3 linked regions of the Oryzias latipes genome follow. The protein of the gene in region 3 purifies or fractionates together with the protein of the main gene of each other region. This does not show direct contact. Links are inferred from orthologs where the notes say so. Each region holds a gene or a part of one and is shown on either strand. Other genes may lie near its edges. The genes, in order: ss18, bcl7a and smarcc1.

Region 1 (3,649 bases), on a different chromosome or scaffold from region 3:
TAGAAGATATCATTGAATGATTTTTAGGGGTGTAACAGTACACACAATTTTACAATTTAGTATCAATTTCCGTCAGGTCTTTGATTAAAAAAATAAAATTAAATCAGACTTTTCATAAAGTAAAGATGTTTTTGACTGTTGATCATCTTAGGTGCCTTAACTTTGCATTGTTTCCTTAAAAGTACTCTTAAACTACTTCCAGTCAACTCAAAAACAACTACGGTAGGAAAACCCTTACAATTAAAAATAAACATTCATGATTAACTTCAATCATTTGAAAAAGCTAGACAAAGCACTGCTGGTTTGTCCTTTTCATTAATGAAATCACAATATTTGAATTTTTGTCCCTGAAAATACTCAAAATCACAAAAGAATAGCTGAAAATTTTGTTTTGTAGAAATTTAAATTACTAAATGTTTAGATTGTGCAAAAACAAATGGGAACTAAATTGAGAGGCAAGATATTTGTTTGGCAGCACAGGCGCATCACCTGGAGCCCCAGTTTTGAGGAGATCACATGTACCGCTACACCCCAACAATCGCAGCTTCATCACAAGCACATTGTTCGTCGAGTGTTAAAGTTTGAGGAGACGTCTCACTACAGACTACGCATGCTTTTGTTTTGGGACCTCATTTCTGACAATTCGACCCCTGGTTAAAACAACAACAGTAGAGTTAAACAGAAATGGAAGAACTTAAAAAAGGTTGAATCAAAAAATAAAAAAAGAGAAGAAGAGGACAGATAGAAGAAACATTAGAAAATGCAAATTAACTCTAGGTGGTCAAGTGTCTAGATTGGACCCTGAGGTCTTCACAGCAACCATTACCTTTGCTTCTTACAGAGCTAGTCAGGGGTTCAAATCCCCGCTTCCTTATTTCCTCATGTGCCCCTGAATGTTCAAAGATAAAGATATCAACGTGTAGCTCTGGTCCCCACAGAAGACCATGGGAAATACAGGGCAGAAAACGGATTGCACTTTAAACAATGGAGCAAACTGACTCAAGTTTAAGGAAGAATCCTATTTAAAGCCCTGGTATTTCAAAGGAGGCACACCACATGAACCAGAAGAAATAACCAACACTACGGTTAACATTTCAAACACAGCAGCAGCATATACAATCTTCTGGAACAAACAGACTCAACCACCCAATAGGATGTTTGCATGCATAACACAACATGATTCTTGACTTTAAACTTCATTGTCTGTGGTTTCACTGAGAGCTAGAAAAGCATTTTTTCTGGCAATAAACTTGTTTAATTTGTAAGAAAATCGGAATTCCAAACAATCCGGTGACTGCTGCTATACTCACCTGGTCGTAACTGTACGGGCGCTGCTGCTGGCCCTGAGGGGGTCCGGGCTGGGGAGGACGGTAGCCCCCATACTGTTGGCCCTGCCCCTGCGGATAGTTAGGGTACTGTCCCGGAGCACTTTGGGAGGGGCCTAAAGTGAGCACAAACAGATGTAAGGTGGCGCTCTTAAAAGGACGGCTAACTGAAAAACCAACACATTCCATTTCTGATAAACCAAAAGTCTTAATTTTGTCAGTCTGAACCAAAGGACTAGTTGTTCAGCTAAAATAGGGGTCTAAACGTGACTTTTCCACCTCCGTTGTGGATCCCTGGTTAAAGAAAAACAACAAGCTTTTAATATAAGTGACTATAAAGTTAGAAGTAAACTTTATTCAACTCATTCACAGACAGTTGAAGGACAGTATGCATCACTCAGTGAGAAACCTGACTACAGTACCCATAATGCTCCAACAATAAAAGCAATTCGGACACCATGTTCACTACTTTCTTTTTGAAGCCTTATTCTTCTGAATGGTGAAGTGAGAAATTGACCCAAGTGACAATATATTAGGTTAGTATCTATAAAATGTGTGTAAGTATCCCTAAAGTTGTATCTTTTAACACTAACAAAAGAAAAAAAGCAATAAAAATAATTTTCAACAAATATTGACTTTATTTAGCCACAGAAACCCAGTTATAGTCTAAAAGAAAAAAGCTTAAAGTGCCTGAAATAAAAAAATCTATCAGTCCTTATTTAAAATAGAAACATTCTGACCAACTGAACCATTTGATGCTGAGAAAAATAATTTAGTCAATCAATAATATTAAATGTAAATTGATCTGAAACATTAACAGAGCAGCACCAATATATTTAACCTTTTTAGTCTGTAGAGATAGATAAAAACATTGTGCTGATGTTTTTCTAAATGATGGATTGTTTATTTATGATCTCATAAAGTGCAGCGGTTTTCCTGCATTACCTGCTGTCTTTATTTCAAATACTGACACCAACTAAACGACAGGCAGACAAAAAATACATTTATGAAAAATAAAGATGTCATCAAAATATCTATAACAGTTAATGAAGGATGACATTATTAGCATGAACTGAGTAATCTAAAAGCATGTGATGATCCTGGTGGTGCTAATCCAGGCAGTGCTTGCAGCTCTCCGCGTGCCCCATTTCACCTGGCAGCCTGAGCCTACTACCCCTCCCCTTTCGTTCTCACACACGCGTGTGACAGGAGACGGGAGCGCGCAGCTGCAGGGACGGGGATTCAAAAGTTTCAGGCTGTTACAAACTCTGTGTGTGATTTAACAGACAATAGGAACCGAATAGTGGCGCAGATTTTTTCCTCGCACTGAGCCGCTGTCGTCACCACCCCCATGTTAAATTTGCGCCCCGGACATTTGCCCGTATTACCTGTGCCTAAAACCGCCACTACCGCGCGCCCCTCCTGGCATCGCATCGGCGTGTCCCACTATTTGAGAAGCACTGCTTTATAGCAAGGATCAACCGACAGAAGAATATCAAATATTTGCCTAGGCTGCTTCTGAAACATGTTAGCAAGTTATGGATGCAACCAAATGAGTCACACTGAGGTCAGGGAGCAGTTACACATAAAAAAAAAAACAAGCTAAAGAAAATAAATATGTATATATGTATAAAGAGAGAGAGAGACCTATTTATAATCCAGCTCTGTACACAGGAGCCATCTTTGCCGATACTGTGAAGGACCGAGCAAACTAGACTTGGGTGGAAGTCAAATGAGGCCCACGCAGCATCGTTAGGCCCTCCTAATGCCTTATGCTGCTGTGCATAACCTTGTGGGAGCCTGAGAGAGCAGGCGTGTGTATGTGCCAGATGGATCTCACCTCACAGCCTCGGCATCTCAGCTGGCTCATTAATAACTACAGCTCTGGCTCACAAAGAGGGCAACTGACAGAAAGTTCTAGAGAAAACTGCCACAAAGAGAAATCCCTTAAGAGCTCCTGCAAGTAAACCCACACTTCAAATGATATCAGATCCTGATTAAATCATGTTTATTTCTATACTCTTTTTTTTGTTTTTTTTAAGTAAATGCTTAAACCCGGATAGCCTATTGACGCGTACAGGTGCAACAGGCTATCCAGGGCGATGGAGGATCGTAGAGAGGAGCGGCTGCGTCTTAAGGCGAGCACATGTGTGTCCTGAGGCCATCTTAAGGGATGTCATGAGAGCGGAATGTACGATTTCCCTGCGTGTTGGGAAGTGTACTGTCAAGTTTTTGTAAGGATAATGCAAGTTCCACACACTTAGAGCGACCTAACCCCGCACTCTAGTCTTCAGCAAGGTGCGCGTCCTGGCTCCTTACTAACC
Region 2 (4,413 bases), on a different chromosome or scaffold from region 3:
CATTTCAAAACACCTGCGGAGGCGGAGCTTGACCCACGCAGGTGTGTTTGTACCTGAGTAGCTTTGCTGTCTGGTGACTCCTTCTCCCCCGACGACTGGCCGTCTCTCTTGGCGCCGTGCGCTCTCTCTGAGGTCTCTGACGAGGGCGTGGTCTTACCTGTGGGTCAGAGGTCACAGCTTGGATCAAACTGCAGTCCCTTTTGTGGTGCTTTACTGACACCCTGTGGTGAAATGAAGGAACTGCAACTTGTAACGAGATGTAAAGGTTCTCCGTCACATTGAAGCCCATCAGGACAACTATTGTTGTAATTTTAGGGTTTATAAATTGAATTGGTCGTATTTAAGGAATTCTGTGACAAATTGGGATAAAGGTTTGTCTTTTATTCCGTCAAAGTATTGGATTCGTTCAGTTTTGCTTCAATTAAATCTTAATTGGTCTTTCTGAAGATCGGCCATGATGAGGGCGCCGTTTTCACAACGCATCAGGGCGGGGCTTCACACAGAGCCTTTCTGATTGGCTCAGACTGTCTGACTTCATTTCCTCTCTGTGCTCTCAATCAGAGCCCGTCTGGAAAACACGGTTGACGGTTGAATTCCCTGAGGGCGGCGCTGAGGCTACAGCTGCGCCGAGGGGTCGCTGGCTCCAACCAGCTGCTGTTTGCATTTGACCTCTGACCTCTCTTGCTGTCCGGGCTCTGCTCGCTCTTGGTCTCGCTGTTCTCACGGAGCGTGGCGGCGTTGTTCTCGGGGGCGGGGCTTGTGCTACAGCTGTTTTCCTGCTTCACTGGGGACGAGTCTGCGATGGAGCTCTGGTTGCTGTTGTCGTCTGAAGGAGAAGCACGCTCAGCCTTTATTTACATTCATCAGAGAACGACCTGTTGTCATGTCCAGCTGTGACCTCAGGTGGGGGGGTGGGGCCTCACCGTGCATGTCCATCATCCCCGGAGACGAGCTGTTCTCCGGGGTCGTCACCTCTGAGCCGTACTTCTCATCTTTGCCCTTTTTCTTGTTTTTGTTTTTCTGAAAACGGAAAATAAGAATCATCCATTTTGAAGAGAAACCCCGGCTGACAGGTGTCAGAGGCGGACTCACGTCCTCAGATTTGGGCTCCGTCACCGGGACCCACTTGTAGATGCGGAGGGACGTGTCTCCCACCGTCACCCACTTCTTCTCCCTGAAGAGAGGAAACCATCAGGACAGGAAGCATCTCTGACTTTAAGGGGAAAACCTCATCATCCTGACAGAAGCGCCTTTCATTAAAAAACCAAAAATCACATCAAAAGAAGATTTTTTCCCCTTAATTATATCAATAATAAATCCTTTAAATATATATGTTAAAAGGGATTTATGTGAAAAATGCTATTTTCTCCTCTTTAAAAATCTTATTTTAAGATTTCAAACTGATTTTATTACTTTTATATTTTACAAAATACATTAATTATATTATTGATTAGTTACCGATCAGATGTATATATACAAAAATCTTAAACAGCTTTATTATTCATAAATGAATATGAAGTGTGTGTTGGAAAAAAATATTTTTCTATAATTTATAAAAACCAACAAAAAAGTTATAAAAATAATGTCACTAAATGATCAATATATTGATTATTGATCAGTATGATTCGATTATTTCCCTTGTTTTTCTAAATCACTACTTAAACCTTTAAAAAAGCTACATTTAGGTGTTAAGGTAAAATCCCTCTATCTAAATAAACAATTTTGGTATTAAAATTTCTCATATATAAGAAAAAAATGTAAACTGAAACAAATGTTTAATCCTTAAACTGATGTTAATAAAACTAAACAGAAGTTAAAATGTGTTTTAAAAATATTTTTTATTAGGAATGAATTGTTGCAATTTACAAACAAAATGTTTAACTTTTTTTAAATTTGGGGGAATAACTGACTGAAACTGTTTTGTTTACCCGCCTAAAGTTTCTGGTTCCGGTTTGTTTATTCCGTTTTATTTTCTTAACTTTAATCGAAAAAAATAAACTTCTGACTTTGACCTGGAGACGTTTGATTAATCCACCCAGACAGGCAGAAATTGAAAAAAATACCGCCCCCCGGCGGGGTCACGCGGCTGGATCCACGCTCCTCGTGTCCGGGTGATAACCGTATATGTGCGGCGGAGAAGCTGAAGGCGGTTAAAGGGTGATTTTCCGCGGCGAACCGGTCGCTCGGCGCCGCTGGCTGCGCGTTCAGCCATGCATCTCGGCGGACTTCCCTCTCCCAACCCCCACCGACCGAGCGCTGCTCCGTCGGACCCGAAGGGCGACTCCGAGCGCTGCCTTAAAACTCCTCGCGGGCCGAAGAGCCCGGACTCCGGAGCGTCATCGAACGGTCCCTCCGTCCGCGCCGGGTGTTCGTTTGGCCGGCGCCGCTCCGCTCGCGCTCCCGGCTCCGCAGCGAGCAGCAATGGCTTCATGTGACTGCATCGAAATGGCTTCTTCTGGGTTCAGCCCTAGCCGTTAAAAATCGGCGGAAAAACAGCGGCTATGCGACGAACCGGTTCCCGCCGAAGCCCGCCTCCGACCGGCGAAGACCGGTACGCCGGTGCGGACCGCTGCACCTGAGCCGCGGCGGGATCTGCCGTCCAGAAAACGTCGTTTTCTTTCAATTTCATCCGTCTCCGTCTCGCTTCTTCCCTCTCCTCCCCCAACAAGAGAGCCTTTCTGCTCCCGGGTAACGAAGCGCTCCTTTCCCGGCGTTTACTCACCATTTTCGTACTTTCTCGATGGCGGCCATGACCCTCTTGATGTCATCTTTGGCCCTGCTCCGGGTCTCCGCTCGGACCGACCTGCCCGACATTTCCGCGCTGCTAAAATATTTTTAAAGCTCGCCGGCAGTTCAGACACAATGCAAACAGTAGAGCGCACAGAGAGGCCAGTGCGCCTGCGCGGCTCCGGGGGAAGAGGGGGGGGGCGGCTGCGGCTGCGCGCTGAGCTCAGATCAGATCCTGCTGAGCGGCGGAACAAAGAAGCCGCAGCCGCCTCCGCTCTGCCCCCCAGGTCTGCCCCCAGAGCCGGTACAGGGTGTCCGCCGCGGCAGGAACACAGCTGTTCTGTTTTTACCCACTCACTTGTAAAAAAAATCGCCATAAAAAGAGAAAAAGTTTGACTCTTTGTCATTTTTGTTGGTATTTTACACAAAAAGAACAAAGCAGCTTTACCGCAGAGACATCAAAGGGCCGGAAACACCAACATGGAATTAGAGGGAGGCTTTCTGATTCAAACTAATGGAAGTTCAGAATCAGAAAGCCTTTATTATCATTGTTACACAAGAAACTTGTGACAACGAAATTCTGTTGCTCTTAGATATATGATCCATAAACATCTGAGCTCTTCATGCAGCCACACGGTGTCGTCTGGTCTGTTTACACACTTTCAAATCCAAACCGGTCTCCAGCGAGAGAGAGAAGATACTGCCTAACAGGTATCTACCAAATGTTCGGCTTAGCCGCTCAAATGAATCCAGGGTGTTGTCCACAAACAGATCTTTAAATCTTGTGTTGCCCTTCTTGTGCCACTCCTGAAAACCCCTGTCGTGAAGGGAGGGTATGAAAACACTTTGAGGCCATCACCACCAAAACACCATTTCTGCTAAATGTTTATTATTTTCAATGATTTTTTTTTTGGTAGACTTTTTTTCATTTAACATAATTTAAAATGTGCGGTTGCTATCCACGTTTAGCTTAGCCATGTTGGGTTCTGGTTGAAACTATCATGACTGTCACACTGTGACATATAGTGAAGTTACGCTTGTGACCCGAGGCTGTCAGTACTGACAAAACATGTCCATCATATTTGGACCAACCAGAGTTGCCTCGTTTATCACTGAGGATGCGTTTCATAATTGACCCATGAAAGGGTAAAATACTAAGTTCACACTGGGCAAGCAGGGAGGGGCTTCTTCTTCTTCTTTCCCCACTGTTTACTATATCTGCCACAGTTGGAAGAGGCTGGGTGTGAAATGTCAGTGGTGCAAATCTTGCCCAAGACTTTTTCTTTCACAGCTCCATTCTGATAAATCACAGAATTCCTGCTGGACGTAAACCACAATTATACATTTCTGCAGCTCCATGAGCTTTTTTTCAATGGTTGGCACTTCTGTGAATTCGAGAGGACACCATCCATTCGTCACTACCAAGTCCCTGCTTGGTCAAACTTTGACCTGGTTTACCTTGCAACGTGCGTTCAGTGCCCATGCGTTCTGTACGTAGAACCCAAAACGGTAGAACCTTCCATAGATGCGAGTTCTAAATGAAGCCCCAAACTTTGCATAAACTTTTCAGTGGAAGTGGCTGCAGGTCTGGAGGCAGAAGACCATGAGGAAAAAATAAGGCACATAAAAGGATTCCGGGGGTAAATGGCGTACACTTGTGTAGCGCTTTTCTACCTTCCTCGAAGG
Region 3 (3,649 bases):
GGAGGACATGACAAAGGACTTGGACGAGTCCTCAGCCGGTGCCAGCATGGAGGAGGGCAGTATGTCTAAGAATGGTATGTACTGCAGCCGCAAATGCAGCTGGAGCCTAAATGTTTAGATGTAAGATTATATTTTAGCTACACATCAAACGCAGCCGCATGCTTTGTCCATACAGACCCTTTACAGTGTGACAAATGTAAAACCATCTCAAATGTTTGTAGACGTGTGAAACCTTTAGTATAGAAAAAAGTTTTTCAAAGCAACGAAGACGTACTTTCCTATTATTTTTTTAGGAATGTTTGTCTTAACCAATTGAAATGCGTAGAAACACATTTCAGTCCAAAGCTGAAATCTGCTTTAATTGGGTTGACTGCGTCACCTGATCATTGTTTTTCTGGGTTTTGTTAGATGACATGGAGGATGACTCTGTAATGTCTGGTGGAAAGGTAAGAAAATTCAAAGATTTTATACAAACAGACTATAAGTGAAGGTAAGGCCAATGCACAAAAATCTATTACTTTAAAATTAGACACATACTACTACATTAGTGCCAAATTATAAATTTAAGCATTAAAGTAAAGTGTTTTGAATTTTTAAATTACTTCTGTTTATTTTATATCATAAAGGATAAATGTAAAACAAAAATCCACTTTGGCTTTGACACTCTTGTTAATTTTCTACCAAAGTTTACTGTATCATTAAGGATATTTAGAAACTTTATGTAATAATTTTAATAATTGTCTATTGACAGCCCAAAGTCCTGAAAAAGGTTTTGATATTAACTTCTTTAAGGGGGAAAAACATAATGAGAAGTATTTGAGGATAATTTGTTTCAAATATTTTCCTTTTAAAATATAAAGTTATTACCGGTAGTTAAAAAACAAAGAACATTTTAAAGAACAATACAAATGTTGATTTAATGGTCAAACATAAAATTCCTGATTCTAAATTACATTTTATTGTGCTTGAAATACAAACATTTGCTTCATAAGATTTTTTTAAGAGTTTGTAGCTTTTATGAAACACGTGGGAAATTAGTTTGAACAAAATCAAACTTTGTTCTGTTGGATCACAGATTTAATAGAACCTTTGAGGCCAGCCGTATTTTGTCTTTTAGTTTCTTATAATTGAGGTTTTTCTTGCAGGATGATGAGGAACAAAACAAAGGAGAAGTGAACCGAATGACAGATGCCAACGAGGATAATGTGACCGAACAGACTCATCACATCATCATTCCGAGCTACGGAGCTTGGTTTGATTACAACAGGTACGCTCTAAAAATGCTGCTACCAATAAACGTGTTAAACATTTCTGATGAGTGTGTTTGTCGGTTGCATTAAACAGTCTTTTTTTTTTCTCCTTAAGCATCCACGAGATTGAACGAAGAGCCCTGCCTGAGTTTTTTAACGGGAAAAACAAATCCAAAACTCCAGAAATGTGAGATTATATTTACAGACTCAGCCTCACTGTCAGATACATTTTTCTACATCACACTTTCTAAATCGCACTATAATGTGATTCTTCTCGACTTGTTGACAGATATTTGGCGTACCGGAACTTCATGATTGACACGTATCGGCTGAACCCCCAGGAGTACCTCACCTCCACTTCCTGCCGCAGGAACCTGACAGGAGATGTCTGCGCCATCATGAGGTGAAGAGGATTCAGGGCTTTTCTGCTTCTTTGATGCTCATGTTTTAATCCTGAAAAACAAACGAACAAAAATGATCAGAGAAATTGAATCTGTGAATTTCCCTGTGATGTTTTTAGGGTTCATGCCTTCCTGGAGCAGTGGGGTTTAGTCAACTACCAGGTGGACTCTGAAAGCCGCCCGCTCCCCATGGGCCCCCCACCCACACCTCACTTCACTGTCCTGGCTGACACCCCGTCCGGCCTCATGCCGCTTAACCACAGACCGCCAACGGTAAGCACAGCTCTGTTTAGGTGGGAGCAAAGTCACTTTTACTTTGAAGTACATGTATGATATCGACTTATTAATAATCGAGTTTAAAACTTGAGACATTTTCTTCTTAACATTGTCTGCGAGAAAATAATTACCGAAGCTATATATCTTATGAATTGTCAACACCAAATGCCGGCAGAGTTTGACATTATCACCAACAAAATGTTTTAAATATATATATCAGCTTTCATTCATGAAGAAGTCACTTGTTTTCAGTAAAGAAAAATTAACAGCTTAAAACCAAAGTACATTTTTATTTAAAAAGTGCTTTAATACCTTAGAGCTCTTGATAATTGTCGTAATATTTTCCCAACAGATTCCTCCTCAGCAGCCGATGCCTAATTTTGCAGATAAAAGCAAAGATAAACCCATCGACCTGCAGAACTTTGGCCTTCGTGCTGACCTCTACAGCAAGAAAAACACTAAGGTAAAGGTCCTGTTTGACATTTGCATGAGTTCTGCATGGAAACTATTGGAGATGCATATTCCTTAAACAAACGGCAATGTTGAACTTTGGTTTTCTGCAGTCTAAAGCAGGCATCGCCACCAGAGACTGGACTGAGCAGGAGACTCTTCTTCTCTTGGAGGCAAGTCTTATTTGTTTAGATATCGGCTTCTGTCAGTGGATCACAATTGTGTGTCTGTCTGCACTTGTCTTTATTTTTCTTCTGTGTTGCGACTTTATTTTTCACTCATCACAGGCCCTGGAGATGTTCAAAGACGACTGGAACAAAGTATCTGAGCATGTCGGTTCACGCACCCAAGACGAGTGTATCCTCCACTTTCTGCGGCTGCCTATCGAAGATCCCTACCTGGAGAACACAGAGGCGTCTCTGGGTCCGCTGGCTTATCAGCCCATACCCTTCAGCCAGTCTGGAAACCCTGTGATGAGCACCGTGGCGTTCCTGGCCTCTGTGGTTGATCCCAGAGTGGCCTCTGCTGCAGCCAAGGCAGCTTTAGGTAAAAAAAAAAAAAAAACTATGGAAACACGCAAGGACATTTAGAATTTCATGTCATGTTCTGTTTAACTTTACTGCATCAGTGCTACTTAAGACATTGAGACTGCAATAATTGTGGCATTTTTAAACGTAAGCGCTAAAGCAATACAAATCTAGATTTTATTTTTTTTAATCTGTTCCACTGCAAAATTAGAGGGGAAAAAATCCTCAAGGTTTTTAATTAATTAGATTTTTAGATTTAATTAGCATATTTAAAAAATAAATACTGAACTTGTTTTAGTTTTAGGATGAAATTGTTTCAAAGTATTGTTTTCCGTGCCAGTGTTGTTAATGGTGGACGTCGGCCCTGAACGAGCTGTGAAGATGCTTATTTTTATTATTATTTTTTAATATGGAAATGTCCTTGCTGCGTTTGCAGAGGAGTTTTCTCGCGTTCGTGAAGAGGTTCCAGCAGAGTTGGTGGAAGCTCATGTGAAGAAGGTGCAGGAGGCGGCGAGGAGTACAGGAAAGGTTGACCCCACCTTTGGCCTGGAGAGCAGCGGGATCGCTGGAACTGCTCCCGAGGAGCCAGAAAAGACTGGTGAGCAGCATTAAAGCAGACTTACATTGATGTCTTATGCAGGGCATTTTATATAAGGTTTATTCTTAAACATCAGACGGGTATGATGGCGCCTAAAGTGGGTCAGGTTGGAGGTTTTTCTTCTGACTTTTATATCAAATGCTCCAC

The links.
Region 1: the proteins of smarcc1 (region 3) and ss18 purify together in Homo sapiens (affinity purification with mass spectrometry; 4 studies listed by BioGRID and IntAct, counting the BioPlex papers as one, with this or other methods). This does not show direct contact. The link is inferred for Oryzias latipes from reciprocal best matches to the Homo sapiens genes SMARCC1 and SS18.
Region 2: the proteins of smarcc1 (region 3) and bcl7a purify together in Homo sapiens (affinity purification with mass spectrometry; 4 studies listed by BioGRID and IntAct, counting the BioPlex papers as one, with this or other methods). This does not show direct contact. The link is inferred for Oryzias latipes from reciprocal best matches to the Homo sapiens genes SMARCC1 and BCL7A.

What each region holds. Positions count from the first base shown.
Region 1 is NC_019875.2:25,752,078-25,755,726, forward strand, and holds part of ss18 (protein SSXT), read right to left. Parts: intron 1,442-3,649; coding exon 1,311-1,441; intron 890-1,310; coding exon of another isoform or gene 872-889; exon of another isoform or gene 827-871; intron 1-826. UniProt on the Homo sapiens protein: Appears to function synergistically with RBM14 as a transcriptional coactivator. Isoform 1 and isoform 2 function in nuclear receptor coactivation. Isoform 1 and isoform 2 function in general transcriptional coactivation.
Region 2 is NC_019870.2:1,211,867-1,216,279, forward strand, and holds the start of bcl7a (B-cell CLL/lymphoma 7 protein family member A), read right to left. Parts: upstream 2,922-4,413; 5' UTR 2,815-2,921; coding exon 2,723-2,814; intron 1,175-2,722; coding exon 924-1,174; intron 827-923; coding exon 677-826; intron 158-676; coding exon 54-157; intron 1-53.
Region 3 is NC_019874.2:27,737,759-27,741,407, reverse strand, and holds part of smarcc1 (SWI/SNF complex subunit SMARCC1), read left to right. Parts: coding exon 1-74; intron 75-408; coding exon 409-446; intron 447-1,145; coding exon 1,146-1,267; intron 1,268-1,365; coding exon 1,366-1,437; intron 1,438-1,539; coding exon 1,540-1,653; intron 1,654-1,770; coding exon 1,771-1,924; intron 1,925-2,279; coding exon 2,280-2,390; intron 2,391-2,490; coding exon 2,491-2,550; intron 2,551-2,664; coding exon 2,665-2,923; intron 2,924-3,340; coding exon 3,341-3,502; intron 3,503-3,649. UniProt on the Homo sapiens protein: Involved in transcriptional activation and repression of select genes by chromatin remodeling (alteration of DNA-nucleosome topology).